5 linked regions of the Oryzias latipes genome follow. The protein of the gene in region 1 purifies or fractionates together with the protein of each later gene. This does not show direct contact. Links are inferred from orthologs where the notes say so. Each region holds a gene or a part of one and is shown on either strand. Other genes may lie near its edges.

Region 1 (6,672 bases):
CGAATTCCTTCACTACTCATTACATAGTGCACTATACATTGCCTTCTTCATTTTGTAGAGCTGTCCGAATCTACAATTCCAAAATCCTGTGCCCTAGAAATTTCCCATAAGTCTCTGTGAAAAACCAGTGTGCACTGATGCTCACTAGATTGGCGAATATAAACCAGAGTGCATTGTGTTTGAACAATGTTTGTGAAAACATTTTATTTTATATTTATTATTAAAATCGTTTTCATCATCAGAACTCCGTGGACTCATAAACGATCATTGCAAAACTCTCATATTAATTAGATTTTCACTTCATGAAATCGATGACGTCATATTCGCCATAAAAAAAGTAGTGAGCATGGTGTCTGAATTGCTAATAAAATCCAGGGCACTACGTAGTCCTGCACTATATTGTGTTTTAGTAGTTAGGGAGTAGGGTGGGAATTCGGATATTGCCTTACTCTGACAGAGATGAGCCTGCCAAGGACAACTGGGGCAGAATTTTATTGTTTAATGCCTGAAACTGAGGGCTGTCTCTGAATTCCCTCCCTTCTCCCCAACTCCTGAAACACAATATAGTTCAGAACTTATTTACCAAAGTAAAACCTAAGAAATTCGATTGTAAATATGAAGACTCTAAAGCCAATGTTCTCATAAATTTTTAAAATTATTTAGCCATTTTCGCCAACACGCCAAAGCCCATCAATAGGCAAATTGATGATGATTTATTTTTTTAAGTATAATTTTTTTTTTTTTACCTTAAGTATGGTAAAAACAATTTTTTTTCCCGAAAAAAATTGTTTAACCGCAATGCATTGTGGTCTATATTTCCTGATCTACTGTGCATCGATGCTCATTAGTTTTAAGCAGAGACCTCAGGGACTTGTCCAGGGCACTGGATTTTGGAATTGTAGATTTGAACCCCCCGGAAAAAAAAATGGCGAACGCCACAGAAAGTGCATAAAGTAGTGAGGGAATTCGGACACAACCTACAAAATTGTCTTCCTGCAGCAGCTGGCTGGGGATCTGACGTTACGCCTTTGTCTCCGCAGTTCCCTTTCGAGGACAACATGTTCCAATCGCTGTTCTACCCGGTCCAGAGCAGGTTCCTGGACACGGTCAACACTCTGTGCGGTCGCATTCCCCAGGTCTTCCTCAAGCAGATAGAGAAGACCATGAGGAGTGCTTTTGAGAGGAAGGTGGTGCGCCATGCCAGACCTCGAAATTAACAGCCGAAGACCATGTTGCCCCACCCACACCCCCATGCTGTGCATTTAAAGCAGACGCAACCTGTGAAGGATCATGAACTCTACAGAAATAAAAAAGTAAATAAAAAGAAACCAAACAAAGAAGTCACTTTTTTATTTATGTTGAGAAAAATGCTCATCTCAAGCATTTCTAAGCGACTAAAATGAACATTTTAAAGGTTCAATTGTATGAGAGCAACTCTTGGACAGTTTAAAGAATGGTGAATATTTTAGCGTCACCATGAAATGTGAACGAACCACCACTGTCTGTATTAAATGTTTGTATGTTAAATGTTTGAAAAGCACTTTTTAAAAAAGATTTTTTTCTTTTAGACCGTGAGACTTTGCCTGACCGAGTTGGACAGATTGTGCAAGAATGTTTTATTGGAGTGAAGTTTAAACGCCATATTAATGTTCATGTGTGCCATGTTTACCATACAAAATAAATGGATTTGTGTAGGTGTGTGTGAGCCTGTAATATGAATCTGTGCTGTTGTGACCCACGTGTTACATGGAAAAGTTTGTGGAGTCTACATATGTTTTCAGAATTAAAATTTTTGCAAAAAACTAACCCATTGTGAGTCTTTTTCCCCCTGCTATTACCTTGTTTGCTTTTGTCCTGGTAAGTGGGCGGAGTCTTAAAGACACCACATTCTTTTATATGAAAGACCCACTCTGATAAAATTGTGTTTCTGTTGTTTTTAACATGTTCTCGTGGCATTTTTTCTGACGATGGAAGAAAAATATCAAGAAAGTTAAGCTTGAGATTGCATTTCTGAGTATTACTTCGTTCAAATTGTGAATTAGGAGCAGACAAAAAATGCAGTTTAAAAAAAAAATTGTGCTCCGCGTCATTCTGATTCATCTATCTAAATGTTCGTTTTCCTCGTCCGAGCTAGCATCTGGCTCAATTAGCTCCAACATTGGTCGCCATTTTTTGCTGCAACGCCACTAGGGATGTGAGGGACTGTAAGCTAGCAGGAGAGAGTGTAAATAGAGAGCTCTCAGCAAAGGGGAAGGGTCAGGGGGGTGGGGTTGCTCCGGGCCAATGGTCCCACCCACAACTCAGACATATTTTTTAATAATAATGACCAACTCTTATTTTCTTTTAGTTGCTATATTGTAATGAAATACATCAATTACAATATACGCAGCACACAGATTGGGTGACAGCTCATGGCTGCTGATTGGTTGATTTAGTGAGAAGCAAAACATACTGTATTTGTAACTTTGTCATTGTAGATAAATACATGTTTATTTGTGCGTGTGACATTTCACACACGGACAAAGCAACTTTATAGACAGACATGTTTGTTTTCCCGTTATAAAACAGTTTTACAGACGCACACATTTCTAATGACGGGTACAAACATTTTTAAAACAGACAGACAATCTGTTTTCTACAGATACTAAATCTTTCAACACACACAAATGTCTCATTACAGGTGCAAACCGTTTTGTGCAACAAATCTAACTTCATATATGCTGCTCTGCAAAAAAAAAAGTCTACTGGGAATGCTCTTTTTTTAGTTGTGTTGTATCAGTTCTCTTCTGTTTGTTGAGTTAGACTCGGGCTGTGACTTAACGACGCCATCTTTAATTACCCCCCCCCCCCCCGCCGCCTCCTAGCCTAGCTTAGCATCGGCTAGCCGCCATCCTGCCGTTGACACCCTCAGCACTAACAGAGGCGACGACGTGATGGAAATTGACTCGATTCAAGAGGCGCTCATAGGTCACTTTCTTCTCCTCATTTAACACCAAGCTGACGAAAAATATCTGATAAATGTCTGCTCTAGGTTACACTAAAAAAAGCGATAATGAAGTGGGTTTTAGTTTACGAGAGCTAGTGTCAACCGATGCTAACTTATTAGCTAGTGCTGTCTTCGAAACGCTTAGCTTTCTTTTTAATGTATTCCTTTCTTTTTTTTTTGAAATAACTAGTTAGTTCTTATAGTTAGCTTTCTTCTTTTTGTTTTCCACGCACCATGATTTCAGATGAATTAGCCGGCTAACGCTTTGGGGAAAACTACCGGCTTCCCCGTTAGGCTAAAGTTAGCATCGCAGGGCTACGATAAGCTAATAGGAACTGCTGATCAACACTTAACGAAAGGAAGGGTTCAGCGATATATATTAATTCCTCGGGTTGAGTTAAAGTGGGCATTGAGCGTTAACCAGGTTAAACTGGACGACCACAAATTAATCCGACATTCTCAGCTGCTCAGTTTGGCTAAACTGTTCGTTTTTTAAGCTAGGCTAAATCGAGACCTGTTCGTGTTCAGCCAATTTGTTAAAATGTTTCTACAGATTTTGACAAGAAATCTAAAAAGGAACCATCCCCTGTTCTGGAGGAGTTCCTGTGCCATGTTGCCAAAACTGGACAGACCATGTAAGTGTCCTTTTTCTCTCGGTTTTTCTGCTCCAGTATTTGAAACTCTTCGGTTTACTTTGAGCCTTTCACTTTCCATTGATGCTCTATTGTTCACTTTCACAGGAAATTCTTACTATGACAGTTACCTATATGCTTTTCCTAATGCAAGTTCTGCACGAAATAGGGTCAAATAGAACGGGGGAAAAGGGTCAGTCAGGATGAAGGGATCAAACTTATCTCGGATAATTCCTTGATTTTTGAGTCATTTTTGTTTGCAACCTGGTTTTCAGATTCGTGACAGCTTCTATACTATAGAGGTGAACTCTGGTTTACTTCTCAGTCTGAAGTCCATGCAGATAGCAGTTTATGGTTCGGTGTCTGCAGTTACATCCCACAGAAAACACTGCTGATATTGTATTTGGACCCATCAGAGAGTTTTTGGAGATGTTTGCGGGGGGGGTTTCCGGTCATAAGAAGAATACATCTTTGAAACTTTCCACTTTCTCCAGTTTTACCCGTGTCTATTATTGTCAGTGTTGTCGGAAACGTTCATCTGCCCCGATACCATTTCCTGCTTTTATGGAACTCAACAAATGTTGAATGTGTTGCCCTCTGCAGACATCGAATGTGTGCCGTGTTATTTTAAACGTGACGTTAAAAACCTGTTACACAGAGAATGGTGCAGCTTTACCTTGAAACTTGTGAATCCACGACCACAAAATTTTATTAAAGTTTGGTTAAAGTGAGCTTTCTTTATGAGAATTATTATGGAATAATGAGTGAAATAAATAAATGTATTACAGATGTTGGCAAAAATGAATACTTATGCTTATTACAGCTGTGTGTGTGAGGGGCTAAGTAATCAACTGTAGCATCACCAGTCGTCTAGCGATAACTTGTCTCTTCGAGAAAAGAGGTTAAAAAATAAAGGTTTTTTTTGAGGTGATGGAAAACGTTTTAAACAAATAAGAAACATACAAACTGGGTTGATTTACGTTTCCCAGCTAGTATGAGTGTAAGGTTCTTTATTTTTTCTTTCTATCGTCTAACAAAAGCCCATCCAAGAAGCTTCATCACTTCTAGTGGAAGAGGAAGACCACAAAATCAGCTTATTTATAGGTCTTTGTTTTATTCAGAATATCCCTTCATTCGGGCTTAGATTTCAGTTTCGGTGTATTTACAATAATAGGTGAAGAAATGTCGTAGATGCTGTGGAGCTACAGAATGGTAAACATACTGAGGCCATTCTAGTTCAAATATATGTTAGCTTGATGCTATATTTAGGGATACAGGAGGTTGTTGGTGTTGGTAAAAATGACCACTTCTGCTGATATTTCTGTTAGTAAAGCCTTAGTCACATGCTGCCGTACTGGGTTTGGTTTTTCCAGGGTTGTCGACCTTGAGGGACATCGTGAAAATAAAACATATGATTGTCTTGCGTGTGTTAAGCGTATTGTAAAGTATTTGTAAGGATGTAGGTTTGATGTACAGGTGCTGGTGTCGTACGGGGGCCTTACGCTACACTATTTGTTTAGTAAGGTGCGCATACTGACTCATTGTTGACGGCGTGCAATTGCTGCACACGTGGGAGTGCAGGTCATATGCAAGTGCCTGTAGGACGTCCACGGGAATTAAACTCGTTTGTTCCCCTTTCGGCATATCGTTTCAGGGGTGGCCACAGCCAATCAGCTTTCACTGATTCATACAGGTGGCAGAGATTGTTATTTCTTCTGCCACAACTCTATTTATTTCCGGGCTGGGGACCGGCACAGTGTGTGAAGGGTCTTGCCCAAGGACCCACACTGGATGAAGATCATCCAGAAAACATTATTTGCTCTTCGAGCGTTCTACGAATTTGATATTGTTTGTGGAGCGCCTGTTTGGCCCGCACAGGTTGGTCAATTCTTAACCTGCAGACAGCCTGGATCCACCCATAAGGGAAGTTATGACTAAGGCGTAAAGTGTGGCTTCTCCTATATGATTGAATGAAATGAAAGTGTATTAGAGATAAATCTGTATAATAGAAGGGTTTTCATTTGCAAAAGGTCAATATTTGGTTTATTTGAATATTTTAGAAGTTTCTATTGGATCAAACATTTTTATAGGTTGATCATATCAATGTGTTTTCAGTCATTTATACCCAAAAAACAAGTTCAGAGCTGAGAGTAGGAAAGAGCGATTAAGACTCAGAACCGAGCAGCTGGTTGTTTTTACCAAAGAAAGAGGAACATGGATTAATACTACGACAAAGGAGTACTTTACCGGTTTCCTGTTCATCCTCATCTCCTGTGTCCAACTCTCCAGGGTCCAGTGGTCTCAGTTCAAAAGCTACTTCCTGTTCAAGCTGGAGACGGTGATGGACGACTTCAGAGCGTCGGCGCCCGAACAGAGAGGCGCCGCCAACCCCAACGTGGAGTCTGTTCCATTCGAAGACATGAAGGAGAGGATCCTGAAGATTGTGGACGGCTACAACGGGTGAGTGGACGCTCCAGTTGTGCCGGCCGGCAGAGGGACGTGGAGTTACCGATCAACCATCACCTCATCTCTGAATATGAAGCTAAAGAAATGCTAAGGGAGGAATGTCATTCTTGGTCACGATTTGGGATGTAAAAGGAAGAAAAGACACCGCTCCTGACGCTTGTGGGGGGAGATGTTTGACGACTTGCTGTCCCACATAATTCCGGGGAGGAAAAAAAAAATATATTGTTTCCATCCAAAAAACAAATACAATAACGTTCAGGAGGAGAACAAACGAGTGTGATCAGATTCTCCTCCATGTTGGTTTTGGACTCCACCCACTGATCACATTACAACACGTCACTACCAGACTTGAGTTCTTGATTGGTTGACAAGACACAAATTCTTCGACTAAGTTCAATTATGTGAACTTTGGGACATTTGTGTGGCCAGAGGTTTTGACTCGCATCTGAATTTTTAAGTTGCTGTCTGTGCTGAGAATGTGTTTCCACTCCAGAATGGTGCTGCGTGTCGTAGTCTATGCCCCCCCCCCAGCCCCCACCCCCCAAATGACTGCGTTTGTTTGAACTCCAGGATCCCGTTCACCATCCA
Region 2 (6,508 bases), on another chromosome or scaffold:
AAAAGTCAAAAACACACTGCATGTGCATGACAATGCAAAAACATTTTTTTAAATATACCTTTTCCTTGCGACAAACGAGGTGTTGAGCCCAAATGTTTTCTGTCATTGGCCCATTCGTTGTACTTGTAAGACGGTGTTGGGAGAGGTGTATCGTCTGTGTAACGACCTCTGACTGATCTGAAATCACAACAGATGAAAGCAGCTTCAGTCTCTCTGCAATTCAAATTGATTTTTTTAAGTTAAAAACTAGATTTAGAAAATTGTTGACAATTATTCTTTTGAAGAAAAATTACATGGGTTGCTCTGTATTTTTTATGTGCTTCAAATAATTAAAAATAAAAACACATTTTTTCCTTAGGCCTTAAAACTTCAGCAATTTAAGTCATAATGGAGGTAAGGTTTTGGAGTCACTCACCTGTCCTTCCTCTCACTTTCTCGTCCAGAGCGATGGCTTCTTTCTGAGCGATCTGAATCTCTTGGAGATGGAAAAGGAGATGGAGACTCCCACTGGGAATGCCTCACACTGTTGTAACCACTGTCGTCCTCATCCCAGTTGGAGTGGGAAGGTGTGAAAGAATCTGTAAAAACAAAAGAAGGTGACTTCCAGCAGCTACATTAAAAATTCATCTGGAGAAACAGTCAGAAAAAAGGCAAACCTCTGGGGCGTTGCAGCGGTGTGGAGGGTTCATCTCTTTTACTCCCTCGGCTGATGCGCTCCGACCATACATCTCTCTGCGAGCGCTCGCTCCTTTCGCTGTGTTCCCCACGTTCCGAACGACTGCCGCTGCTACCACGTCCGTGGCTGTGTTCCCTCTCATCTACAACACGGTCAAAACCAAAGCTGTGTCAACACACTTAAATGATCCTTCTCTCTTTAGCAGATCCAAACAATATTTGTAAAAACTTAATTTGTGGTGCTTTGATGATGGCATTACAGTAGAAAAGAATGTATGCTCTGTGTATCACAAGCGAATAAAAATGTAAAAGTAAAAAAGTGGGACAGGGTGCAGGGTCAAGATTTTTTTGGTTTCCACTAATGTTTCACTAAATTTACAGTCAAATATTTGAATCTATTACAGCACAACTTTATGGATGAAGACCAAATGATCCGTAGAATCACCTCTTTCACTCCGTCGCTCCCTGCTACCATCTCTGCTCCTGTCTTTGTCTCTCCTCTTGTCCTCCTTGGAAGAAGCATAGACCCCATGCTCTCGCCTGTCCTTCTCCCTCTGCTGGTGTCTGCGTCTGAACTCTTCACTGACTCCTCCAGGGTTGGACGGTGTCTCAGACCCCGTCACTCGATACTTCCTACAAGCAAACATGCAATACCAGGAGGCACTGTTAAAGATGGGCTACGGTACACAAAAATTCACTTCACATGGAGAAATATTGACTGCAAGCTGTAATTTGTGAAAAAAGAATGCAATACACAAGGCATTTTTGTTTTTAATAAAAATGTTGCATGGGTAAAATGATTATGTATACTTAAAATTGAAGAGAAATGTTATAACATCCAGAATATAGTATAGACACTGTTCATTTTCATAATAAAAACAACCTAGTATAAATCATTTGGGGAGCCAAACATTGGGCATTAATTTCATAAAGATCTAATTTTTTCAAATTACCGTTCTTTCTTGGCACTTTTATTCTCTTCGTCGTCCTCTTCATCAGAGCCGGAGTCACTTTTACCCTCTTCCCAGTCCTTGTAGGAAGAAATCTTTGACTTCTTTCTGTCTCTTTCATCGCAGTTGAATTGTTCCTGTTCTTTGGTCTCCCGCTCCTTTCTCTTTTGGGCAGCCAGTAGATCCAAGCCCAGCAAAGATGTACGTGGTGTAGGTGCTCGAAAAACATGAGGTTCTGCAGCAGTACTCTTTTTCTTTACAATCAGACCGCCAACCTGAGCTTCTGGACTGGTCCCTTCCAGCCTATGCATGGAAACATCCTCCTCCTCCATCCTCTGACAGCAAACACAGACAAGTTGAGCATAACAAATAACAACAGCACTTTTGATATGCTGGTCATGAGAGCACTTAACATTTATAAGTTCACTGAAACTACAAATAATGTGTTTACTATGAATAGATGCAAAACTTAACAAGTATTTGCTTGAAACTTCTAATTTGTAAAAAATAAAAAAATAAAAAACGAAGTAGTTCCACAACCAGTGAAAAGTTTTAGAACACTCCCATGTTTCCAGTTTTTATTGGAAAGTAATCAGTATTATAAAGGCGCTTGAAATAAAATGTATTATTATTATTATTATTATTATGTCTGTTATCCTCGCAATCTTAAGAATATTAGAAATTAGAAAGTGGAAATCCTGGAGCGAATTTACAAGCTAAAATGTAACTTTTAATTATTTAAAGTAGCCACTTTTTATAGATATAGCCACTAAACAGAGTCAGGCATTCTTTCTGCAACAGAAACTCTTTAAAAACGCATCTCCAGGCCTCCTGCAGGGGTTCACATAAATGCTTGCCACTTTGCTTTTCCTTTTCCATCCACAAGTTTGAAGGATGTGCAGGGATCTCCATGTTTCAAAGATTACCATTTTGTTATTTATTCTAAGGTAGTTCTGGCAATGCTTGGATTTTTATTTGGAGTCATTATGTTGTTGAAGGATTAGCCCTTGACCAACTAAATGTATACAACAAAATAAAAGTAGTGAGCTTAGAATGCCGTAGTTTCTGTTGGTTTTAGGTTCCTCTCTGTGCAACCCACTGAGCCTGGGCCCAGAAAAACAGATCCATACCCTCACATATCCTCCTCTATGTTTGACAGTTGGTATCACAGACTGTGGAGCCTTTGCTTCACCTTTTTGACAAAGATTCTGTGACACAAAGCAAATATTTCAACATTTTATTAATTGATCAATACCTTATGTAGAAAAGCTGTTGAACCTTAACCTGCCTGTTAAGTCCCACAAAATGAGTTCACCAATTCAGCGGCGACTTTGGATCTTCCAGACTTTTTCCTTTCAAGAGTTTTCCCAACTTTCTGTGCACGTTTTGATTATGAATACAATTATATTTTTATACAATAAAACTCACTGACGCCTTGACTTTCTTTATTTGTCTGTACAAAATACCTACACTTTTTGGTGTTTTGATGGGCTGTGTCTCTTCCATTGTCGTTTTTTTTCTGCTTTTTCTTTTGAAAACAAAAAAATACTTTTAGATGTAAAACACTGTTTAACTACTCCCTGCTCTCATGAAGATTGAGAATGTTGCACGTTATCAAAAAAAGTAGGAACACCTGTACAAATTATTTTTAAGTCTTGATGAACATCTAGCTTTAAACTGTTAATCTATTTCATGGTAGTAGACATTTTGTGTATTTCAGAAATCTGTACTTTCTTAGTTTAGCCATAATTATTATGGCTAAATATGAATATTTATTATTATTAGCTGGCAAGAACTTGTAACCATTTCATGTTATTATTTGGAAATTACCGCCCTGAATTCTTTAAAATCGTGTGGATTTTAGATGTTCTAAAGCTGTTGACCGACAGAGTAAATTGTTAACTAGGAAAATATAAAATTAAAATCAATTATAGTCTTCAGTTAGATGACTGACTTGCAAAAAAGAAGAAAAAAAGGAATAGGCAAACCTGCTGTGCTTGTAAAGGCGCATTTACCATGGTATATTGCTTTGCAATTATACAATTTCTCAATGTTTACAATTAATTTGCGATTCATAGATTACTTTGGCTTTATTCGGTTAATCAAACCTTTTTTTTTAGCCTGAATAAAAATGGAAACAAAAACCCTTGCCACCCCCCCCCCTCCTCCTCCTCCTCCTCCTCGCATGAAAATAATTCAAACTAAAAGTGTTGATGGAAAAATCACCTTGATCAACCTGATTTTGAACATAGTCTACTGAGTATGGTGAATTTACGCACATTGACCTGCTCAAAAAGCGATTATAAATATTTGATTTTTACTGTTATTCACTGCAGTTTATTGTAAATGAATTGGACCTACCTCGGGCCGAACAGCTACCGTTAGCTTTCCCAAAAGCTACTTGTTAGCATAGAGCACCAGAAGATAGAACACCGCCACTTCTATTTCTGGGAGCCAAATGAAAAAAACCTTCATACGAACTTCAAGATCAGACGACAATGTTGTTCACTTCTGAAGACAGAGACAACAAGTAGAACGTAAATTCGTATATACGACGCAAATGTTTACAGACGCCAAAACAGCCATTTCAATCCCACAATGCACTCTGTTCTTCTTCTACACATGCCTGCAGTGTCTATGCTGCCACCCACAGGACATTCTAAAAAATAAAATAAAATAAAAATTTGTTAAAACAACTTAAAATCTCTTTTTTGTCTTCAGGACACGAATATTCGGCTTACCGTTTGTTCACATAATCAGCAACGGCAGATACATAGAAAAAAGCTAGTAGAAAAAGCTATATATTAAACACCACAGACGTGGACTTATATTTTTTTGTTCCCTAAAAGTCTCCTGCACACAGAAGTTATTCTTAAAAGGGTCATTTTGTCCCTTATTTTTAAATATAGGGGGACGAGTTATTTATTTGTGTGGCGTACTAAGGTTTACACTTGTTTACCAGCATCTGTGGCTTATGTTTTCTTTCACCACACTACTACAGTTTTGGTTCACTTGCTCTAAGTATGTCTTTTAGCCAAAGTTTACTTTATATCCTTTAAGTAGTGACTTGTCAGTGTATTTTTTTCAAAGAAACTTACTCTATGAAGTTAAAATAAAAATGATTTTGCCCCAAAAGAAAAAATAAATCTGGCCCAAGGTTATCTTGCAGGAAAATATGGAAACTGGATGTATTGCTGCCTACTTTGTGTTTTGCAAATTTTCGAATGGATGGAGGAGACCTTTTTTAAAATATATATTAAAAACTACAAACCATAAAATGTTACCCAGATTTTTTAACAACATTATTCACGCCACGAAAAACGCAAGTCATGTTCTCATGCGCAATGACAGCACACACTTGACAACCTTTGCGCATTTCTTTGGTCTCATGATCACAAGGTGGCTGATCTGATTGGCCACCACTCAAAATCTCGCCCACTCATTGGTTGATGACCACGGGTCTGCTGGCAAACTAGAACACACATGATTGGTCAGTTCTACGTCCCTTCTAGTGTACCGGTTTGTTTCATGATTTCGTAATAAACAGCACGGTGGCGCTGTCTACTTCTGCCTTTCTACGTTCTTATTCGCTGTACCCGTGAAAACATTAAGTAGCTACCCTTCAGTTGCGTCTTTTTTAGAACACCGTTGAAGTCGCAGTCGTTAAATCCATACCTGGCTAACATAGGCTAACATTAGCCAACACCTAGACGACTTTTTGTTTTGTTTTTTTTGTATCTCGCTAGAATGGTCGAGGAGGCTAACTTAAAGTCGAGCGGCAAAAGCACAAATAGTGACCATTGTGAAACCGTCGACAATGCCTTAAAATACTTTACATTAGAGGAGATAAGAGTACACAACATGATCAATGACACATGGCTGGTAATCCACGATAAGGTATACGACATCTCGAGTTTCGTAGAAGAGGTAAGAAGAGGCTCTGTTTGTTTCAGTTCACAATACATGTTTTGTCTTTTTTATGCATTAACAAAATGTTTTTTGTTGAAAAATGGTTGGTTTACTCTTCTCTGTTGCCATTATACAACCAAGAGTTAGAGAGTAACTTGCCAAGTTCTTATCGGAGACCAGTCCTCGGAATGGCCTTATCTTAAATAAGTAGGCCTTGCAGAGAACCGCCCTTCAAAAGAGAAATGGTTGATTATAAAGATCATAAGTGAATGTTAGCATTCAAACACCCCTGGTTCTTCTTAAATCAAAGAGAGATAATAACATGTACATTGGACAATCATGACTCCACACAACTTCAGTGCACCTTCAGGGTGTCCTTTCATAAGATCTGGGTGTGGACTCTATTGTGGTTTCTCCTTGATATGAAGAAATAGAAAAACATTAAAATCAGGAAAAGGTACAATTAGAAAAACATCAAACCTGCTCACAAAATAGGATAAGTCCTCACTGTGCCCTTCTCTACCAGCCAACTACTTTTAACTACACTTTTTATTACACACATCCCTTTACTCCACCACTTAATACACTCAAGCAAACACACACACATTACACAAGGTGGGATCAGTGACCTTCTGTCCCCTACCCCACTGTCCCAGGCCTTGCTGCCCTCTCTTCTGGCAAAAAGGGGGATCCCTGAGTTCTCTGGCTAGGCCATGAGCCGTGGATCACGTCACATCTGAGCCACAGTGTATTAAGATGTATGTGTGTGAAGGTATGTTTGTAATATTTGAGTGTGTCTGGTGACAGGCCGAGCCCTTTTGAATAGCATCTGCACCTGACAGTAATGACGATAAACCTCCAGCAACTTGTTTCTTTGTGATTCTACTGCCTCATACTTCTTTAGCCATCCTTCAACTTCTATAACCCCCATTTTCGTCCCTTTCTTTTTCCCCCATCTCTAACATCCCACTATC
Region 3 (6,349 bases), on another chromosome or scaffold:
CAAAAACCCAAATGATATATTTGCGGTTATGCGTTTGACATTTACAAACATTTAAAGACAGATGACGATAAAAGAAATGGAAAAAGTGTGTTCACTCTCTACCTGAAAAACAGAAACAGAAGCCGTATTTACAGAGATTTTCTTCCAGAATCAACTAGCTGTACACAAACAGAATGTTCCACTCAACTAAAAGCATGTTAGTGAGTTTCAGAGTTCCTCAACAGCGTTATTTGTATAAGGTATCCCTGTACACATATGTGAATAGCTGAAACATGATCAGACATGAGTGGAAACGTCATGGAGGGGTGGTCACTGGATGGTTTCTTCCTGGTCACTCTGAGGCTGCGTCTCTGGAAGCTCCAGCTTCTCGTACTCCGTCAGCTTCAGGGTCAAATACTGGGCAATCTCGTTGGGATCCGCGTAAACTCCTGAGGGAACGTGCTAGACAAAACAGGAACGTGCGTGACTTCCAAGGACTCCTACTGATTAAACTAGAAATGACGTCGCTGAAATATTGCTCAGACTGTATATATATATATTTTTTCACATAACAGTTTGTCATTTCTCACCTTCAGTTCTGCTATTTTGTTTTCCCTTGTGCTGAATTCTCGTAGTAAGTAGTCCTTACCAGCCTGGAACACAAAAGCAAAAACCATGACTGACTGTAAAGGATGAACTCCGGCTGCAGATGAATCGTCTCCTTCACAGCGTCTTGCCTCATGATACAGCCGAGTGTCGTTTATTCTTATCAACACTCCGTCCACGCGGAGGAAGAACCGCATCAACAGGAAAAAACTGGTGGGCATCACCCTCTGCATAAAAAAACAACAACACCAAAGACATAAACGATCAAGAAGATTCTTTAAAGACCAACTCCAATGAAAATTATTTTTTTTAGCACGTTGTTTCTCTCATGATGGAGGACACGTTTAAAGAACATTAAGAATAAATTTGTATTTCTGAGTATTTCTTTGTTAAAATTGTTGTGAATCGGGGGCAGATGAAAAAATGCAGCTTGAAAAAGAGCCAATTTGAGATGTAGAAAATGTGCTAGTCGGGTCACAAGCTTCCTGCTCCGCTCCATTCTGATGCAGCCACTTGCAGACAAATAGATCCATGAGCGTCTTTGTTTTCCTCGTCTGAGCTGGAATCTGCATTAAAACTGAACGTCTGGATGGCTCCCATACTGATCACCATTATCGCTGCATCTGTAATGTTAGGTTGAGGGTGGTAGGTAGCTGAAAGGCTAGTGGGACAGCATGTAAACAGAGAGCTCTCAGTTATGGGTGACGGGAAAGGGATGATCGAATGGGTCTTTAAATGCTAAATTGCAGCAAAAACGGTGCGGTGAATGGTGTAAAAATGAACCAATTTGGCTCAATTTAGCTGCAGTTATTAAAAAAAAACAAATTAGTACAAAGTTATGCACATATTTGCAGACAAAAGATGTTTTTTTCTTTTTAAAGAACTCCAGAAACATTAAGTATATCCTGCCTGCCTAACACTTAGACCACAACAACACTAATTATTTTTGTGTTTTTTTTTTTATTGTTATTAGCACACACAACCCATGACCTGACCAATTTAGACTTTTTTAAACATTTATGCACTAAAGATCCAACGATGTCCAAATTTACAATAAAGAATAGAAAAACTATTGAGATTACATTAAACAATGCACACATTTTTTGCTTTTAACTTTTTAAAGGTTTTTTTTTTTTTTTAAAGGAAAAAACTTTTTGCGTTGGAGATAAAGTTAAAAAAAGAAAATCTTTTCAGGTGCGGTGAAATAACTAATTTTATTTCTAAGACTTTAGAAGAAGGGGACAAGAAATACAAAATAAAACTTTAAAGTCAATTTCTCTAAAGTTAGCGTGAAAAGCTCGAAAAAGTCTGCATGATGATGAGGTTGTGGCAACTGATGTTCTGACGTCAAATAAGTACAAACACAAATAATCATTATTCATCGTATCAACCAGATTAAAGACAATAGTCATTAAAATGAACATTATCACTGATCGTAACTTTACTGCATCATAGTTAGAACGATTTCCTTCTGGATTAGTCGCTGCTTGTTTTGTACTTGATTGTAAATCAGATAGAAAGTTATAGCTTAGGTTCTTATCTGTTTTCTCTAAAACAAGCTCTTTTTACTGCCAGTCTCTAAAAAGCCTTTCAATAAATAAAAAGGGTTTAAAATGATTTTCCCTTTTTTATTTTCTGCTGTCATATTTATGAAAACTGTTGAAAATTACAACTTTGTGATTTTTATCTGTGTAAAGCAAAACTTACATGTCTAGATATTTTTAGCAAAATAAAGTTTTTTGTGGTTTCTCTTAATCTGCTCTTTGCATTCTTTAATCAGTAGGATGAAGAGGAAAATAATGTCAATATTTCTCACTATTTTCCAACAAGCTCTTGTTGTGGCAGAGCCTTGATTGGATCAGGAAATGGCGTTCACGACTCTGATCGTTCACCAAACTTCTAAGCGTTGACCAAATGGAGGTGGATGTGATAGTTCTGACGGCCGCGTGGGACAAAACTCACAATTTTGACGCTGATCTTTGAGACGCCGTGGTCGTGTAACTCGTCCTCAAACAGCAACACCTCGTCGAAGAACATGATGTTCTCGCGGGCTTTCAGCTTCTCCATGTCGATTCGTTCCGACGTCTCCGTCACCTTTGCGAAAAAAATATTAAAGCAAACTCACTAAAACCATCTTCTGTTAACCCTTGTGCTATCTTAGATGACCCCACCCTTCCATTGACGTGTTCTCCCTACCATGACAAAGGTGGATAAAGGTGGAAAGATTTCATGTAATCCATGGACACCAGTGAAGATCACAAATCATTGAAGAAAAAAGGTTCAGAGCACTGTCTAGTGGGTCCAGATGACCCAACTCCCAATGTTAAAGTGCCTAGGATAGCACAAGGGTCAAAGAAAAAATAAATACGAACCTTCATCTGCAATTCCTCCCCAAGTAAGGTTCCCCTGTAGTCTGTGGTGTATGTCCAATCATAAGGCCTTACCACCTCTTTGGAGTGCTCTGAATCCGCTCTGAAATGAGATTTACATTAAGAAGATTTATAAATATTTGATAATAATATCCCATTATCTGCAGCTGTGTATTTATTCAGTAAGACTTTATTATGTAGAAATGCCAGAACGGGTTTTTTACCTATACAACGTCAGCACTACATTAACTGAATGGTTTTTAAAATGAATAATTCATGCATGTTTGTGATTTTCCAAACCAAGTATTTTTCCACACTGCGTACAAAATGTGCACGCTGTTCTTTTTGAAAAGGCATTGTGGGTAAGAATTGGGTTTTCGGGGCTTGCCTGCTCTCCTGCCACTCTTGAGCACAGGCCACTTTCACAGCATCATCCATGTTGTTGACTCTTTTAAGGGCATCGATGGCATTGAATTCGATGCCGTAACCGTCTGCGTGTTGGATGCGCAGGACGTTGTCTCCAAACAGCATCTCTGGAAGACAGGGCATGCTGATCTCCTCCCCTAACCTGGGACAAAGAAGGTAACAAAAAAAAAAGAACAGTTGAAAAGCATCCCAAAAAGTCTTATGAGAGAGAAATAAAAATAATTTTTCAGAAAGCTGTTTTTAGGCTGAGCATCTCACCGTTCCACATCTTTGGATTTCATTATGTGGTTTTTGGCGGACGTCACTTTCCACGGTCCAAACATAAAGTCCTGCTTGCTGCTCCTGAAGCCGTGCGACATCATCTTGGACACAGACGCCAGCATTCAGCTACAGAAATAATTCTCATTTGAAAACGTTTTTTTAAATTCCACAAAGTTCTAATGGAATTTTTTACAATCAGTTTTTATATTTCTGCTGTGAGGGAAAATTTAAAATACTCATTGTAAAATTATCAGACAATCATGAAACTGAATTTCAGAACAAAGATCCATGTAAATAAATCCAATGATGTAACAATAAATTTAAAGTGATTTGATTATTACTTTTAAACAGTTGTGCACGAGTTCACCTGTTTTGTTAGAAATTTTCGAAATTAGCTATAATTAAGCAACAGAAAAAACAACAATGTGTATCTTTTCAAAGCCGTTACAATCCCCGCTTTTTTATCAGTCATTAAAATATCACACTTATATTTTGTTTCTAATTACTGGGTGGAAATGAATGAAACACACACTCCTCCTCTCCTGATTTAACTAACAAGCAGTTTTCTGTTAAATGTTCCTGATTAGGGCTGCATTCAGCGGAAGCCGCTGTTCTGGAGGTTTTCCGGCGACTATCCGATAGTTTAAAACGGTTATAAAGGTAAGCAATAAACTGAATGTATTAAAAGAAGTGAAAAATTAAGATTTACACAAATTGTTACCTCGATCTTGCTACTTTTCACAAATGCTGCTTGGGAGCGTCACTTTAATATGTCCGGCTGTGTTTTGGGTTCCGAACAAATGGTTCCACATGCCCTGTAACATTTTTCAACAATTTTAAATCTTTTTATTTTATTTTATTATAGCATAAATTTGAAGCTTTTTATTTCGTCATATAATATGTTATGATGGTACTGGTATGTGACTTTCGGCCGCCAATATGTTTTACGTAGCACCACTTCGTTCGGATGTATTTATTTTTATTTGAATACATTAAGCATTTTATCATTTAGTTAACAAACTAATGGTTTTTGCTTTCGATTTAAAGAACAGAAATGGCGGGTTTATGGAATTTTATGGACGCATTAGTAAAGATTTGATTGACAACTGATAATTACGTTTTAATCAACGGCAGACTTACGCACACAAGGTTAAAACAAGTTTTATCTTAAAATTTCAACTTTCTAAAAAAAAACAAAAAAACGGTTATATTTAAAAAGAACAAGAAAAGGAATGAAGAGAGGGCTGGCTTGACACCAGTTTATTGATGGTTATGCAAATCTTGTGTGTACCCGTCTGTGTGAATAAGTTAATATCAGCACGTGTGAGATAAGTCTTTGTCATTAATGTAGGAATATACCTAAAACCTGTAAATAGTTGAGTGCTATTTGTTGGCGTTGTTTGGCAAATGATTCCTGTGACATGTCGATTTCCCAGAATAAATATGCTCAATCAAAAACAGATTAAAAAAGACACCACACGTGTAGACAGATGTATTAGATGTCATTTAATAGGTGCTAGAGAAGTGATACTTGTGTCAGCAGACAGTGTGATGACAAAGTTGTGGGAAGGACTACGTTTGGCTGAGGGGTCCCACACTAGCAGGGATTCCAGTAAGGCAAGGCTGCATCAAATAATAGGGAAAAAAACGCGCACACTTGACACACATCCATTACACAAATTAGAGTAAGCACATGATATCAGAAGAAAGAGACTTGGAATATGTAGCAGAACATCGTCACAACAAAAGGTCTACATTCCTGTAAAGGGCAGATCCTCTTCTACATGTCTGTGTACAAACAGATGCATATTGAGTTGTGCTTTTTGTCGCTTTTCTTTATTATTTGTCGAAACTTTGAAAAAGGAACAGTAATAAATAAAAACGAAACTCAAGCATTCAATAGTTCTGATCATAGAGTTTTACAAACTGCCCTGAACAGATGTTAACTGTTACTGCAAAGAGGAAAAAGCAAACAAAAAATATATATAAAAAAAAAAAAAACGATGAATCAAACCAAGGGAATGCTATTGGCCCACCACTCAGAGGGTAACAGTCTCTCAGCTATCAGTCTCATCATGGATGCTCACATGGTACAGTTAGTCCTCCTGACCCATCCCACGCACACACGCAAACACACACACTGTGTGCCACTGAGTTCAGAGCGCAGCAGCAATCCTCCGACGAGAGCTGCTGGGAGCAGACAACGCTCAGAAGGAGCAGCGTACCATCACAGCACACCTACAGTACAATCATGACTGAGTTAGAAAAATACAGGTACAAAATGATTACATTCAAGAAGACAGTACTAGCACAAAAGGGTATTATAGTCATTTTGGTAACTAATATAGGAATCTAAACAGTATATAAGCATCTCCCGGATAGAAAAGTGGAAGGGTGATAAGCATAATGCATCTATGGCTGTTCTTGGTTTTGTTGATGACTGGATTCTTGGACACATGGATTTAGTTCATATATATTTAGATAAATATATATATAAATAAAGTCCGTGATCGTTTTGGTTTGGGTCATAAGGTGCTAATATATAAAGAGGTGCCCTTTTGCTGCCAGAAAGCACGATCCCACTGGAAACTCAGGATGAATTGTGCTGATTTTATTACCTGAAGACTCAGAAAACCTGACAAATCCAGCACAACACTTTTGTTAGCTGTCTTTAATGCTCCTTTGAATATATATATATATATATATAT
Region 4 (6,332 bases), on another chromosome or scaffold:
GTTCCCCATTAGACTATCTGTTATCATTTTAGCAGTGTGTCATTTGTTTTTTTTTTCCAACGGCTGCAGTGGTGATAAAGGAAAACTGGGGCATTTCACTTTGAATTTTTGGTGAAGTATTTCCTTGATTTAAAAGCTATTCACATTAAGGACACAAGGCTATTATTTGATTGTAGCTCTAAATAGCATAATGTATGACAAAACACTGGATGGTCAAAAACGATAATTTAAGCATCGAATAAATTGTGATTTACTCTGAAACTGTGTGATCTCTTTAGACTTGAGAGTGTATATGCAGTGTCTAATAGAACTGTTTTCACTAGTTCACTGGAAAAAAAAAAGTTACTTTACTCTAGGGATTATCTTTGTATTAATTTTCATTAGATGCCATGTAGTTCATGTGTGGTGTTCTACTGATTTGATGCCTCAGTATATGCTGATGCTAATGCTGTGGGCATGGAAACTTAATCACTTTTTTAAGGGGGTGTTAAGGAAGCCACATAGGGTGCTAAACTACACCCTCTTACACAACTACATCAATCAGGGGTTAGATTATCCTTTAATATGGTTGAACGATCAATGAAACTGTCAACTTTGTTTGATATGTGTTTTCACCTGAGCAGACTTTTTGATGTACAATTCTTACTAACAGAGTGAAGCCATTGAAATGTAACTATTCTAGCACTTTGGTTATTCAATTTTAGAGACTATAGCAGCAAAGATGCCATCACCAATGTTTGGGACGTCTTTCAAAAAAAACAAAAACTTAATAAAAATGCATTGATTTTGCAGTATGTGTGTTTTTGATTTTTTTTTTTCTTTGTGTCAAAGAACCATTAATGGTAAAAATGACAGGAACTTTAAACAACAGTTCATTTCTGAGTAAAAATTTCAATTTTTTTTGTCAAAACATAACTTTCAGCCATGAGCAGAGAACCAGTTTAACGGTATAGTATTCCATAGTTCATTGAAACTCTTACCTTCTGTTTTGGTGCAATACACAACCTTATTAGGAGGGTATTTCTGGTTAAAACTAAAGCACAAGCCTTCTGAATGAGCTGCAATATTATTTAACAGTCATCCAGCCTGCATGAGATGACAGCATAACCTTTAAGACATGAATTAGGTTATAAATTGAACGATATACATTGCTATATCGTGTTTACTTGCATCATCTATAGATTAGTATTGTGGGGTTTGTAAAATAAGAAATTTGTACAAGAAAAATTATGAAAACGTAGACTGGAGGAAAAGTGTTTTTAGTCACGCAACCAGAGGCGGAGCTACAGGGGAGCAAGGGGGGCAGCTGCCTCCCCTGTAAAAAACTTTCCCTCCCACGTCTGACATAATTTCTGAGTCAACATTAGCATCAGTATTGACAAAGATTAAGAAACCATCAATACATGCTTCTTTGAGCATTATAAATGGTATCTCAGGTAAAAGAACTGCTGTTTGAATATTATTAACAATATTAAAACTGTTTGACGTGTATTTTTGATTGTTTCATTTGTAATGGCCTTCCACTCTGCTGTTCCCATTTCCCACTCTTCTAAAGTCTTTTCCCTTCTTCCTCCCTCCCCACGTAACCTTTGTGCTATCCTAGGCACTTTAACGTTGGAAGTTGGGTCATCTAGACCGACTAGACAGTCCACTGAACCTTTTTTCTTCAATGATTTGTGAACCTCACTGGTGAACACGTCAAATTAAGGGTGGGGTCATCTAAGATAGCACAAGGGTTACAATGTTCAAGCTTCTCCACTGCACCCAACAAATAGGACTACAGCAAAAACATTTTCTAATGAGTGTTAATAACGGCCTGGAATTATCAGAATCAGAATTAGAATTATTTTATTGATCCCACATGTGGGAAATTTCTGCGTTACCATAGCAGTTTGTAACCATGAAAAGAAAATGTAATAAAATGAAAACAAGTAAATGTAAACAAGTAAGATGGTATTATCATTTAAAAACTATGAATATTATGAATAGCTAACAATTAAATGGTTAATATTTGTATTAAATATTTGTCATTTACAGACTTATACAATAATGTTATAGTATAAAAAATGTCATAATATTAAGTTAAACAGCAGCTGGATGGCTCAGTGGGCTGTGTGTATGCGTGGTGCATAGGAAACAAGGGTTTGTTTCCCAGGGGGTGGGATGAGCTCGATCCAGTTTGGAAGCAAGGCCTTTCATGCTCCTGATCAACACTGCAGCCACAAGGGGGCGCAAAAAGCACGGCCAAACCAAATGTGCGACTCAGTGAAAGCTGATTCACTGTGGCGACCTCTGACGAGGTATGTTGGAAGGAATAAGATTTCAGGTTATATATAAAATAAAATTTAAATATGGGTTTACTATCTTTGTTTATATTTTTCAGTCATAAACAGTCAGGGACCTCAGTAAATGGTATACTTCCTTGTAAATTTTGGCCCTTTTGGCTTGCCATAGTATCTGCAACTGCTGTCGTCCATCCTCCCCTGCTTCACACACTGTCGCACAGCCATGGCGGACAGCGCGAGCGAGAGCGACACTGACGGTGCGGGGAGCAGTTCAGCCACTCCGATGTCATCCTCTGCCTCCAGTTCTGCAAAACCGAGCATAGTCATTTCACAGTTTCGTCTGGAAGAGCTGACAAATCGTCTTGCATCGTTACAGCAGGAGAACAAAGTTCTTAAAATTGAGCTGGAGACGTTTAAACTGAAGTGCAAAGCCCTGCAGGAGGAGAACCGAGACCTTCGCAAAGCTAGCGTCACCATTGTGAGTAACGTTAGCAAGCTAACTGCTATATGCTATCCCACGCTATAAGTACAGTTCATTTGTCAGCAAGTAAGGAATGCTCGTTTTTGTGTAATTTGCCAATAAATCACAACAATATAATAATTCTAATTTGAATGCAATTGAATTTATGTTTTTCTCTGTTTAGCTGTTTTTTAACTGTAACATTGTTGCTAAATTAGCCAGCAAAGCTGCTTTGTTTTTTTCCTTTAGCTAATTTTGGCTAACGTTAGCAAAACTGTATCAAAACGATGCCAAACTAAACGTGGACTCATCGGTACACAATTTAAAATATTTACTTTTTGTCATTTGGATTGGGAGGGTTTCTCTTTGATAACGTCGTTGATACATTAGCAAGAAGATTAAAGGTGTCTGAATGAAAATTAATAAATCAGCTACAAAAAATGTGCATGAATTGTCGCGTCGTCATGTGTCTGCATGCTTGGCCACTGAGCCACAGCTTCATATAAATGTGTAACAGATCTGTTGGATGGATGAAGAGTATGTAGACCAAACTTAACGAGCTCAACAGACTGCCAAATAACTAAGTTTGTGAGTGTGAGGAAATTAAACCTTCAAACTGTTCACTTTCTTGTAGCTGAATTGTCACCAACTATTTTGAATTCTTGTTTATTAATAGATTTTCCTCAAAAACATCTCAAGTTGTCAGTTCTTGTTAACCTTGAATGAGAGGAATTGGGGATGAATAATGAGACTGGCAAGGGCAAACGTATCATCACACTGAAATGCTAGCTGCTCCCCCAAGCCCTACACATTGCAGCCCTAATGTGTCACTCCTTCCTGCGCTGCAAGTCAGCTTATACTGCAATATCTATTGAGTCATCTGGTCAAATTAAGCTCCCTATTTGGCTTGCAGACTTCACTGCAGCAGACTGAGTGAGTGGTGTATATCTGTCAATTTCTCCTGGGATCGTTTTTACGTTTTAATCAAGATAAAAACCGCTTTGCTTTGCCATGTCCGCCAGGTCCTTTCTTTAATTCCTGATCCTATATATCTTTCCTCCCCACAGCAAGCAAGAGCGGAACAGGAGGAAGAGTTTATCAGCAACACTTTGTTCAAGAAGATCCAGGCCCTCCAAAAGGAGAAGGAGACCTTAGCAGTCAACTATGAGAAGGAGGAAGAATTTCTCACCAATGAGCTGTCAAGGAAACTCATGCAAGTGAGTTTGTTTGTGAGAATTTTAATGGCTTAATAGATTCAAGAACCGATTTATTTGATCTTTATTAATTTACTACTGTTTTTTTTATGGAGAAAAAACAGAGTTGTGTAAAATAAAAATGCCAAATAGGAAATCCTCTTCAACCTTAGTCTCTCACCTCGTTTCACATGTTTAAATACACGAGTGGGAAAATTTGGCAGTAGGAACAAAACGACTTACTTCCTTGTCTAACCTCTATAATGATTTTATTTGTTTGACTTGGTGCCACTTGACAACTTTTCAATGATATGAACCCAAATTATTGGCCAGTTATTGTGATGTGATGTGACAATAATGGTTTTCCTCTGTTGAAAATGCTGTATTATTACTGAATCATCAGTGGGTTCAACTGATTGTGGTAAAACATTTCAAATACAACACTGTTACCTTTAGTTGCCTCTTAAAAACGGCGAGTTTCTTAAAGTTTATTTAATAGAGCTTACATTTCTCTGACTAAACTAATAATAGAGACAGCTTTAAAATCTTTGTCACATATTTAAAAGTGGTAGTTAAACATTTGTTGTTCAGCCAATTGAATATGCTACCTTATAATAAAGATGGTGTGCTGGAGTCTTTTTAGAAGTCAACAAATCTATCAGTTCCTTTTCTGGAGCTGCAGGAGAAACTGTACATGTTTTGTTACGAAAGGATAGAGAGGTGGGAGTCATTTGATCTAAATTATCATTGAGGCTGTGACTAAGACCACCGTTTGTTTTGTTTCTGTCAAAATAAAGGGTTCAATTAAACAAATTTGAAATATTTTTTGTCATTTCCCTTAGTTGGATTATGAAAATTGTCATTTCCACATTTTCTCTGCAGCTTTTCCCTACACAAGTTCAAATGGCCGTCTGCATTATGACTAATCACTTGCATAATCCATTGTAGAGAGGCCCTATTTTGAATTACATTCTGCCACACCCTTACTGAGCTTCCAAAAAACTGCTATGTTTTAGTCCAAATGGATGTTTTTTTTTTCTCTCTCCATCATTTTGAAAGTATTTTGAAAATTAAAACCAAATTCTGTGATCTGACAACTGGTTTAAATGGTTTTAGCATGACTAACTATGAAATGTCTCCCTGTCTGCTTGGCTAGTCTTTTCTGTCCTTGGTTTAGTCTGTTTCACTCACGTCTTTTCATTTCTTTGCCCTTGTTTCTTTTTCCTCCATAGCTCCAGCATGAGAAGGCAGAGTTGGAGCAGCACCTTGAGCAAGAGCAAGAGTTCCAGGTTAACAAGCTCATGAAAAAGATCAAGAAAATGGAGAATGAAACCATTTCAAAGCAGCTCACCCTAGAACAGGTATACCTAACTTTTAGCAAATGTTTTAGTAAGCTTAGTTGTGTAGTAAAATATGCATTCCTAAATTCTTACCAAACGATGTTGTAATTTGTCGCTGGATTCGACCTTCCTTTCTCTTCCTTTATCACATGGATCTGTGTTTTCCAGCCACTATCGCAAATGTTTCATACTATTTTGTGCATTTTCTCTTGAAAGCAAGATTAAATCAACATGCATATTTGCTTAAAAATATGTTTCTGTCTCTGAGAAACCAAATGTAAGATTTACTTTAGAGACTCCCCACCCCAGCTCGTCTTTGAAGCTTGCCTTGGACAAAGACCTTGAACTTGAACAGGATGTTTGCGTGAAATGTTGTGAATGCTTTGCAGCATGAAGAATTTTCTGACTCTTCACATAACACTTGTGTGATACAGTTGAGGCGAGAAAAGATCGACCTTGAGAACACGTTGGAGCAAGAACAAGAAGCTTTGGTCAACAGACTGTGGAAGCGAATGGACAAACTGGAGGCGGAGAAAAGGTATTGTTTTCAATCATACTACAAGCCTGATTTCTCAAGCAATAGTTTAAGCAGAAGGTCCAGGAACTCACACATGCAGCGCACACTAATATCAATGACTTGTATTAACACAATCAAGCCATGCAGGGTTAAAAATATCAACAAATTTACTAAATATGATTCAATGATTGACCTGTAACTGGCTAGCTATTAGACAATATTATCCTGCTCACACTCAAGGTGCTGTCTCGAAATATAAATTATAACCACACTAGAAACTACCAAATTTGCCTAAAAATGCTCCACAGTGTTTTTTCAATTGTTTCTCTCCTGTTTTGTAAAAATACAGTTTATATGAGACCGCTTCATGATGTGAAAGAACGTGTGAAGTGCTGCTTTGAGGATATTCTAGCACCTCCAGTATTCTTATCTAGAGGAAGTTTCACGCCTTTGAACACCTGACAAAACAATAGCTGTCTGTAAGCATTTTAAGGTATTCTTGTGATCATCTGTGGAGATATTGAAGTTTCAGGGAAT
Region 5 (6,312 bases), on another chromosome or scaffold:
TGTGTTGGAGGTGCATTTCGTTCCCCAAAAGCACAAACATGGGCTGCTATCATCAACAATCTTAGCATGAAATCAAAAACTCTTTCCCCAGAACATTTTGTGTACGACTTTGGCCGTCACGGTCGGACTAGTAAACAGCTCCGTGTACTGGTTTCAGCCAGTCTGCAGAGACCACCCCTGCAGACATGGAAAAAGAAACTGAGCAGGCCGACTCCTGTCAGCACAGCGTCCTCTTTGCACGTTGAATACCATGAACCGTGATTCAGTGCTGTGAAACTGATAATCTCCATCGGACTATAAATAAGGACCATAACATTACAAACAGTCACTTAAAGGTCAGTGGGACAGAGTGCCATGGCACAGCACCTGCTTACTTTTCCACATCCATTCACCAGTGGACTGTGGGATTCCTGAATCCTGTTTGACGGGAGGCTTCCAAGGATGCTCCACAGTGATGTCTGTTTGGTTAATTTTCTCCTCAAGTTTTGTTTTGTTCCTTTTTTCATCTGATCTAGATTGTTGTATGCATGCAAACAGCAGCTTTTTAGAGAAACGTAGCAAACATCTTCCAATACCAGAGGTGACTCAAGTTTACTGGCCAGGGAGCTCTTAAAAAAAACCTTTTAATTTATATTTGTAGAAATCTTTCAGAAAAAGATGTTGATTTAAAAAAAAACTTGAAGTGTTTAACTTTTTAAAAATGCAACTTTCTTCTTTAATTAATTGATTTAATTAATGTATTTTAACATACTATTACTACTGTTTAATGATTTAAAAGCAAATAAGCCAGACTTCTGCAAGCTGGCATGAAAAAGCCTCACATTTTCAGCAACTTGTTAAGGCCATGATAGGGGACTGCAGACAGTTGATGTCCGTTTTAGTCCTCATCTTTCAATTCAGGTCTACCATGGTTCTGACTGGGTCATCAGGCATTCTTGTTAGGGGTTGAGAACCATTCTGTTTGTGGGTTTTGCTGTTGACTCGCTTCAGTCTTGGATTGGATTGTTGAACCCTGTAAATGTAGCATCATATTCAAATTAAAGGATTCTGGGGTTGTTTTTCAGTAACTACACTTTAAAAGCATCCATAAATCCCTGATTGTATGAGACCCCTCTCTCCTGCCAGTCCAAAAGTACTGGTAAAATATTGTTGAAAGTAGTCCATGAAAGTCTGGTCCCAGTAGTCCTCTTCTCGTCAGGATGCCCTGGTTTGCACAAACCTATCTGAGCTGGCTAACCAGGTTGGCATTTGATCTGGCATGACTTATGATTAAAGCGTTCTCTAATTGGACAGCTGAAAGCTTGTTATCAAAAAATAGTTTATATGGGTCAATGGCAAACACCTTTATGTAATGTCACGTGACACTTTCTAAAGTTTAAAAGTAACATCTCCTAAGAAAACTTCTTTCTGTATACCCCCACACCTTTTTTTCACATTTAAAATTTGGTCTATGTTATAAATTCTAAGGTATCAATGTAATAACTTCACTACAATAACATACTGACGTGTTTATTGCAAACACAGACAAAGAATTCAACTATCTTGCAGTTTTTGGTGATTTATGGCTCAATGAGTTCCAAGCAGCTTTATGTTCTCCAGATAGAGCTGCCGTTCTGCACATTTATTTACTTTACATGCAGTCCAAGACAAGGTTTGTTAAAAGAACAATTTATTTTTACAATCATTCAATTCAAATAATAATTTGTGGTTGGTGATGTGATTCATAGTCGATATTGGTTAATTTTAAACGGTCCGATTTGATCTAAGTCAATGGCCTAAAATGGATCCAGGGAATCTTTAACAAAAAACTTAACCAGTGTGACTGAGTGATAAATACCTGGATACTAAACAGTGCAGGTGAAGTTTTCCAGATTCCTTGTATTTCTTGCAAGATAATCAAGTGTAAATTAAATATAAGAACAAACAAACAAGTAAACAAGAATTTAAGGTAAATCCATTCACATTTTAGTTTCCTGAAGTTCAGCCCACTATTGTTACTCCACATCAAAATAATACAAACAGAACCTCATTAGAACATTCTATCATACTGTACGGTCATATGTCTTTCCTAATTTCAAAGTGGAATGATGGACTGTATTTCTGCATTTTCCAACGTTGATTAAAATGGCATTATTTCATTTTGAAACAATGTTATGATGCTACAGGTGATTTTATTTGATTCAGTTAACAACTTCCCTTAACATATCGATCTGGTTGGATTGTAGGAGTATAAATCGATTAATAGTTACATCCCTAAATATTATCAGCTCAGTAAAGAGTGAGAGAAGGAAAGACAAAAGTTCAATTTTTGTGATTCAGAAAAAAAATACTGTTAAATATGTTGTGAAAATGCGTATAAACAAATTGTGACACATCACATCATCACTGTAATGAGTGAGGGACTAGCGTTTAATATTAACATGCCTTACAGTGTAAAAGGGAGGGAGCAGAAGAGAAAAGACTTTTCAGCCGATTACCAGTCTAATGGACGACAACTTGTTGTTTTTAAGACACGATTTTAATCATTGAGAAAAATGAATATTTTATAAAGCACAGAAAAAGCTTTGATGATTACTTGTTCATTCGTTGGAGATATGAATGTACTTTTTTTACCGCTAGGTGGCAGCACTTTCAAAAAATGAGTAGAAAACCACCTCAAAACTACGCAGAACAAGAAGAAAGACGGAAAATACAAAGAAGCCGTTAGCCTGTATGCTATAGCGATTCATCAAATGTTTGGTTAACGTCAGTACAAGTGTCAGAAACTATCTTATGCAGCAAAAGAAAGGGAAGGCTATATTAGACATCTCTTGACAGAGCGCTCTTTCCTCACAGCATGGAGAAACAGTTGCATTTAAACCTGCTGGCCTCCAGACCTCCAATGGCTGGTCCTGGTGGATTTCAGTCTGGCTCTAAAATCAAGATGGGGTGAGAAGCTAACAGTTCATAAAACGTTAAAGGGTTTTTTTATATCTACATTTGCGTGTTATTCTTCATACCTCTTGTCAAAGCCATACTGTGAACTTTTGTCTGAATAATAGCTCGCCGAAAAGCCAGACACAGCTGAAGGAAAACCAATATTTAGTTAGCATTTAGGCTAGCCTAGTTACCGCTTATAGAGTAGGCACGACCCGCCTTCTGCAGCTGCTGCAGAGGTTTTTTTATACATATAACTCCTTTGAGTTAACAAAGTCTAGCTGATGCTGTGTAGAGCTTATCGTTTTCTTTAAGAAAAAAATCAGAATATATATACGTACTTGTTATGTTCTGATCCAGGAGACCCCCGTTACGCCCACCAAAGGATAAACAAAATCTAGTTTACAATACAGTTTTACTGATTTAATCCAAAAGTGTAATTACATTCTTATGAAGATGACTCTTTCATTAACTTCGTTAAAGTGGTTCGTTTTCTGCATAAGTCGTGCCTCTAAAGGGGGCAGCTGTGTGTCAGCCAGCAGAATAGAAACAGTAATTTACTAATGGGTAATATGGAGTCAAACCACAGTTTGGAGGTACAGATAGTATGTATATTGTACATAATGATTTCCCCCTCATTTTTATTTGTATTTATATTTTTTTATAGACCTGGCCGGAAGAAAGATTTTACTCCACTGCTTTGGAGTCAGTACTTTGAAACCATGGAGGATGTTGAAGTGGAAAATGAAAATGGCAAAGATATATCCTTCCCAAAATCTCTGTTTCACAAGAATGCCGTGACGATTTTTTGTTGTTTTGATTTACGCATATCATGGAATTAAGATTCAAATGCTTTTCAAATTCTTCGTCTAGGCCAGGGATCTGCAACCTTAAGCAGTAAAGGAGCCGTTTGGGCCTGTTTCTTGCTGATCAAAATCTCATTGGAATCACAAAGTCTTATTTTGCCCTTTAGGAAAAGTTGATACTACTTTATTTTTGGCTTGAATATAGAGCAAAAATATAAAGTGAGAGTAGCTTTTTCTCAAAGTGTGAAATTTTTTCTTTTTCTTTCTTACTTTTGACAGAAGCTTGTATGACTTCCTTTCAAAATTAGACTTCCTGTGCCGAACAGGGTCATCCTATTGCAACTAATGTTCTCCTAAAAAGGTTTTAAACAACGCAACAGCATCTTTTTTGTGCAACATGAGGCTCCGGAGCCACATTGCAGACTCCTGGTCTAGGTTTTAGTTTTGCTTAGCGTTTTAATGTAGTGCTTACAGCCTTGCGTTTTGTTTTCTTGACCGCACAACACATTTTCAGAATTTACTGCAGTGGTTCACTTGGTCCTGTGCTGTTGCTGCTCCATGGAGGAGGCCATTCTGCACTTTCTTGGGCAGTGTTTACTGTGGGTATCATTACCACTGCATAATCCCCTATTCTTAAACAGTAATCGTACACCAATATAACGAGTAATAATAACAATATGTGTGTTGCAAGACTGCCCAGAATACAGATTGAAATGACCTCTGTATATGTCTCTACAGTCAGTCATATCCAACATGATTACCTGTAGGGTGGTTGCCATGGACTTGCGAGCTCATGGTAAGGAAAATACTCTGTAGGCTTTGGAACAAATGACTTTTTCCCATTTTTTAAATGTAAAATAATTTCTGTAGAACTGACATTTTTCTGCAAAAATGATGGAATAAGTTTTCCAATCATTACTCTTTAAAAAAAAAAAGAAAACTAATCTGAGATTGTCACGGTAAGATGAGAAAGCTTGGGAATCCTTTCAGGTGATTTTTAACTAACAATTTTATCCACCCTGTAGTATATTCTCCAGAAAGACTAACATTCTCATTCTCTGCAATACATTGTGAGGAATTTTAACTTTTTTTTTTTTTTTTACTCTACACAAATGTGTTTATATATAAATTTAGAACCAATGCTTTGCTTTTTTTTTTTTGTTTGGTAAGCGTAACAAGAAATTCTGAAACTCGTCTTTAAACCTGCAGGTGACACCAAAGTAAAAAATCCTGAAGACTTGTCGGCAGATACCATGGCAAAGTAAGATACCGTTTTGTAAATACTATCTCTTTTTGTCTGAAGTGGGTTTATAGTTTGTTTGTTTGTTTGTTTATTGCTGGCTTATGTCCAAGAAATATATGAAATCCTATAAACTGGCTATATATGGAGTGATTAAACTACCAAAAAAAAAAGATACGTTTTGGGTTTTTTTATGCAATTGTATTTTTCTTTCAGAGTTAGTAATGTACCAAGTTAATCTGTTTTTCTTGTAATTATGTATTTCTTGTAAACTAGTAAATGAAAAAGGGAACCAATTGTTGCCACCTGCTAGACTGCTGCTGATTTGGAGTAATATTGTTGGACACTGTCAAGAAAATGAAAGATTTTCAAAATGAAATAAAGTGTAAGGAATTAAGTACAGAAATGCAAAAGCAAAACAACAACACAATTTTTGTGTATGTCGTCTTTATTTTAAAAAATCCTTTTTGTAGCATTTATCTTTTTTGACGCTACTCTTCAGATGTCACCTCCACTTGTTAATCCCGTTTCTTCTTCTTTAACTCGTTATATTTTTAGTACATTTATGTAATCGTGCCAAATTAGTAAAATGAATGAATTTCTGGCTGGGGCGAGGGAGGTCTGGGCATCTCTTTTTAGACTGCTGCCCCCGCGACCCGGTCCCGGATAAGCCCAGGAAGATGGATGGAATGAATTTATTTGCTCTGCTGTGTTTTTAAACGGTAGACACCTTTTATTTTCTTATTTGTTTGTTGTAAGGGATGTCGGTAAAGTGGTGGAGGTGCTCTATGGCGAGAATCCACCTCCAATCCTGATTATTGGACACAGTATGGGCGGGGCCATCGCGGTCCATACAGCCACGGCCAATTATGTACCATCACTGCTGGGTCTGTGTGTCATTGATGTTGTGGAAGGTAAACTTGATTCTGTTTTGAAGTTTCCATAACATTTTTGGAGGGTTTATAACTGTTTTAAATAATACAACAGTAGCAGAACACCAAGGAAAAGCTGGATGACTCTAGACTTTTAATGGCCATTAACAATATTTTTAACCATTCAGGTACGGCAATGGATGCTTTGAACAGTATGCAGAATTTCCTCAGAAGTCGGCCAAAGACTTTCAAATCGCTGGAGAACGCCATCGAGTGGAGGTAAAAAGCAGACACCTACTCAAGTGGTGAAGGGCTTGTTTTGAATTTAAAGTTCAAAGTGTAGTTTGAAACTTGCAGAAGAGGATTAAGACCATGCAGAATTATTTGATTGATGAAAAGTACTACAAGTATTTATAGTCAATTGAATGGAAAGTTTTTACCCATTTGGTCTTTACTTAAGGTAAAAATCTGAATTAAA

What was found.
Region 2: the proteins of ppp4r2 (region 1) and dhx38 purify together in Homo sapiens (affinity purification with mass spectrometry; 3 studies listed by BioGRID and IntAct, counting the BioPlex papers as one, with this or other methods). This does not show direct contact. The link is inferred for Oryzias latipes from reciprocal best matches to the Homo sapiens genes PPP4R2 and DHX38.
Region 3: the proteins of ppp4r2 (region 1) and tiprl purify together in Homo sapiens (affinity purification with mass spectrometry; 5 studies listed by BioGRID and IntAct, counting the BioPlex papers as one, with this or other methods). This does not show direct contact. The link is inferred for Oryzias latipes from reciprocal best matches to the Homo sapiens genes PPP4R2 and TIPRL.
Region 4: the proteins of ppp4r2 (region 1) and ccdc6 purify together in Homo sapiens (co-immunoprecipitation; 3 studies listed by BioGRID and IntAct, counting the BioPlex papers as one, with this or other methods). This does not show direct contact. The link is inferred for Oryzias latipes from reciprocal best matches to the Homo sapiens genes PPP4R2 and CCDC6.
Region 5: the proteins of ppp4r2 (region 1) and ppme1 purify together in Homo sapiens (affinity purification with mass spectrometry; 3 studies listed by BioGRID and IntAct, counting the BioPlex papers as one, with this or other methods). This does not show direct contact. The link is inferred for Oryzias latipes from reciprocal best matches to the Homo sapiens genes PPP4R2 and PPME1.

Annotation. Positions count from the first base shown.
Region 1 is NC_019863.2:21,902,462-21,909,133, reverse strand, and holds the start of ppp4r2 (serine/threonine-protein phosphatase 4 regulatory subunit 2), read left to right. Parts: upstream 1-2,836; 5' UTR 2,837-2,933; coding exon 2,934-2,967; intron 2,968-3,539; coding exon 3,540-3,621; intron 3,622-5,907; coding exon 5,908-6,078; intron 6,079-6,654; coding exon 6,655-6,672. Other genes in the region: gxylt2 (glucoside xylosyltransferase 2), read left to right, coding at 1,041-1,217. UniProt on the Homo sapiens protein: Regulatory subunit of serine/threonine-protein phosphatase 4 (PP4). May regulate the activity of PPP4C at centrosomal microtubule organizing centers.
Region 2 is NC_019861.2:20,525,062-20,531,569, reverse strand, and holds the start of dhx38 (pre-mRNA-splicing factor ATP-dependent RNA helicase PRP16), read right to left. Parts: upstream 4,239-6,508; 5' UTR 3,987-4,238; intron 1,961-3,986; 5' UTR 1,958-1,960; coding exon 1,629-1,957; intron 1,309-1,628; coding exon 1,121-1,308; intron 819-1,120; coding exon 657-818; intron 579-656; coding exon 416-578; intron 178-415; coding exon 59-177; intron 1-58. Other genes in the region: cytochrome b5, read left to right, coding at 5,373-5,552. UniProt on the Homo sapiens protein: Probable ATP-binding RNA helicase. Involved in pre-mRNA splicing as component of the spliceosome.
Region 3 is NC_019872.2:12,961,751-12,968,099, reverse strand, and holds the start of tiprl (TIP41-like protein), read right to left. Parts: upstream 4,456-6,349; 5' UTR 4,363-4,455; intron 3,768-4,362; 5' UTR 3,764-3,767; coding exon 3,639-3,763; intron 3,523-3,638; coding exon 3,343-3,522; intron 3,058-3,342; coding exon 2,958-3,057; intron 2,680-2,957; coding exon 2,548-2,679; intron 813-2,547; coding exon 717-812; intron 633-716; coding exon 570-632; intron 442-569; coding exon 310-441; 3' UTR 1-309. UniProt on the Homo sapiens protein: May be a allosteric regulator of serine/threonine-protein phosphatase 2A (PP2A). Isoform 1 inhibits catalytic activity of the PP2A(D) core complex in vitro. The PP2A(C):TIPRL complex does not show phosphatase activity.
Region 4 is NC_019873.2:18,423,249-18,429,580, reverse strand, and holds the start of ccdc6 (coiled-coil domain-containing protein 6), read left to right. Parts: upstream 1-2,472; 5' UTR 2,473-2,508; coding exon 2,509-2,763; intron 2,764-3,812; coding exon 3,813-3,962; intron 3,963-5,170; coding exon 5,171-5,299; intron 5,300-5,712; coding exon 5,713-5,816; intron 5,817-6,332.
Region 5 is NC_019872.2:16,423,965-16,430,276, forward strand, and holds the start of ppme1 (protein phosphatase methylesterase 1), read left to right. Parts: upstream 1-2,653; 5' UTR 2,654-2,836; coding exon 2,837-2,928; intron 2,929-3,583; coding exon 3,584-3,677; intron 3,678-4,228; coding exon 4,229-4,321; intron 4,322-4,460; coding exon 4,461-4,518; intron 4,519-4,931; coding exon 4,932-4,983; intron 4,984-5,721; coding exon 5,722-5,876; intron 5,877-6,022; coding exon 6,023-6,113; intron 6,114-6,312. UniProt on the Homo sapiens protein: Demethylates proteins that have been reversibly carboxymethylated. Demethylates PPP2CB (in vitro) and PPP2CA. Binding to PPP2CA displaces the manganese ion and inactivates the enzyme.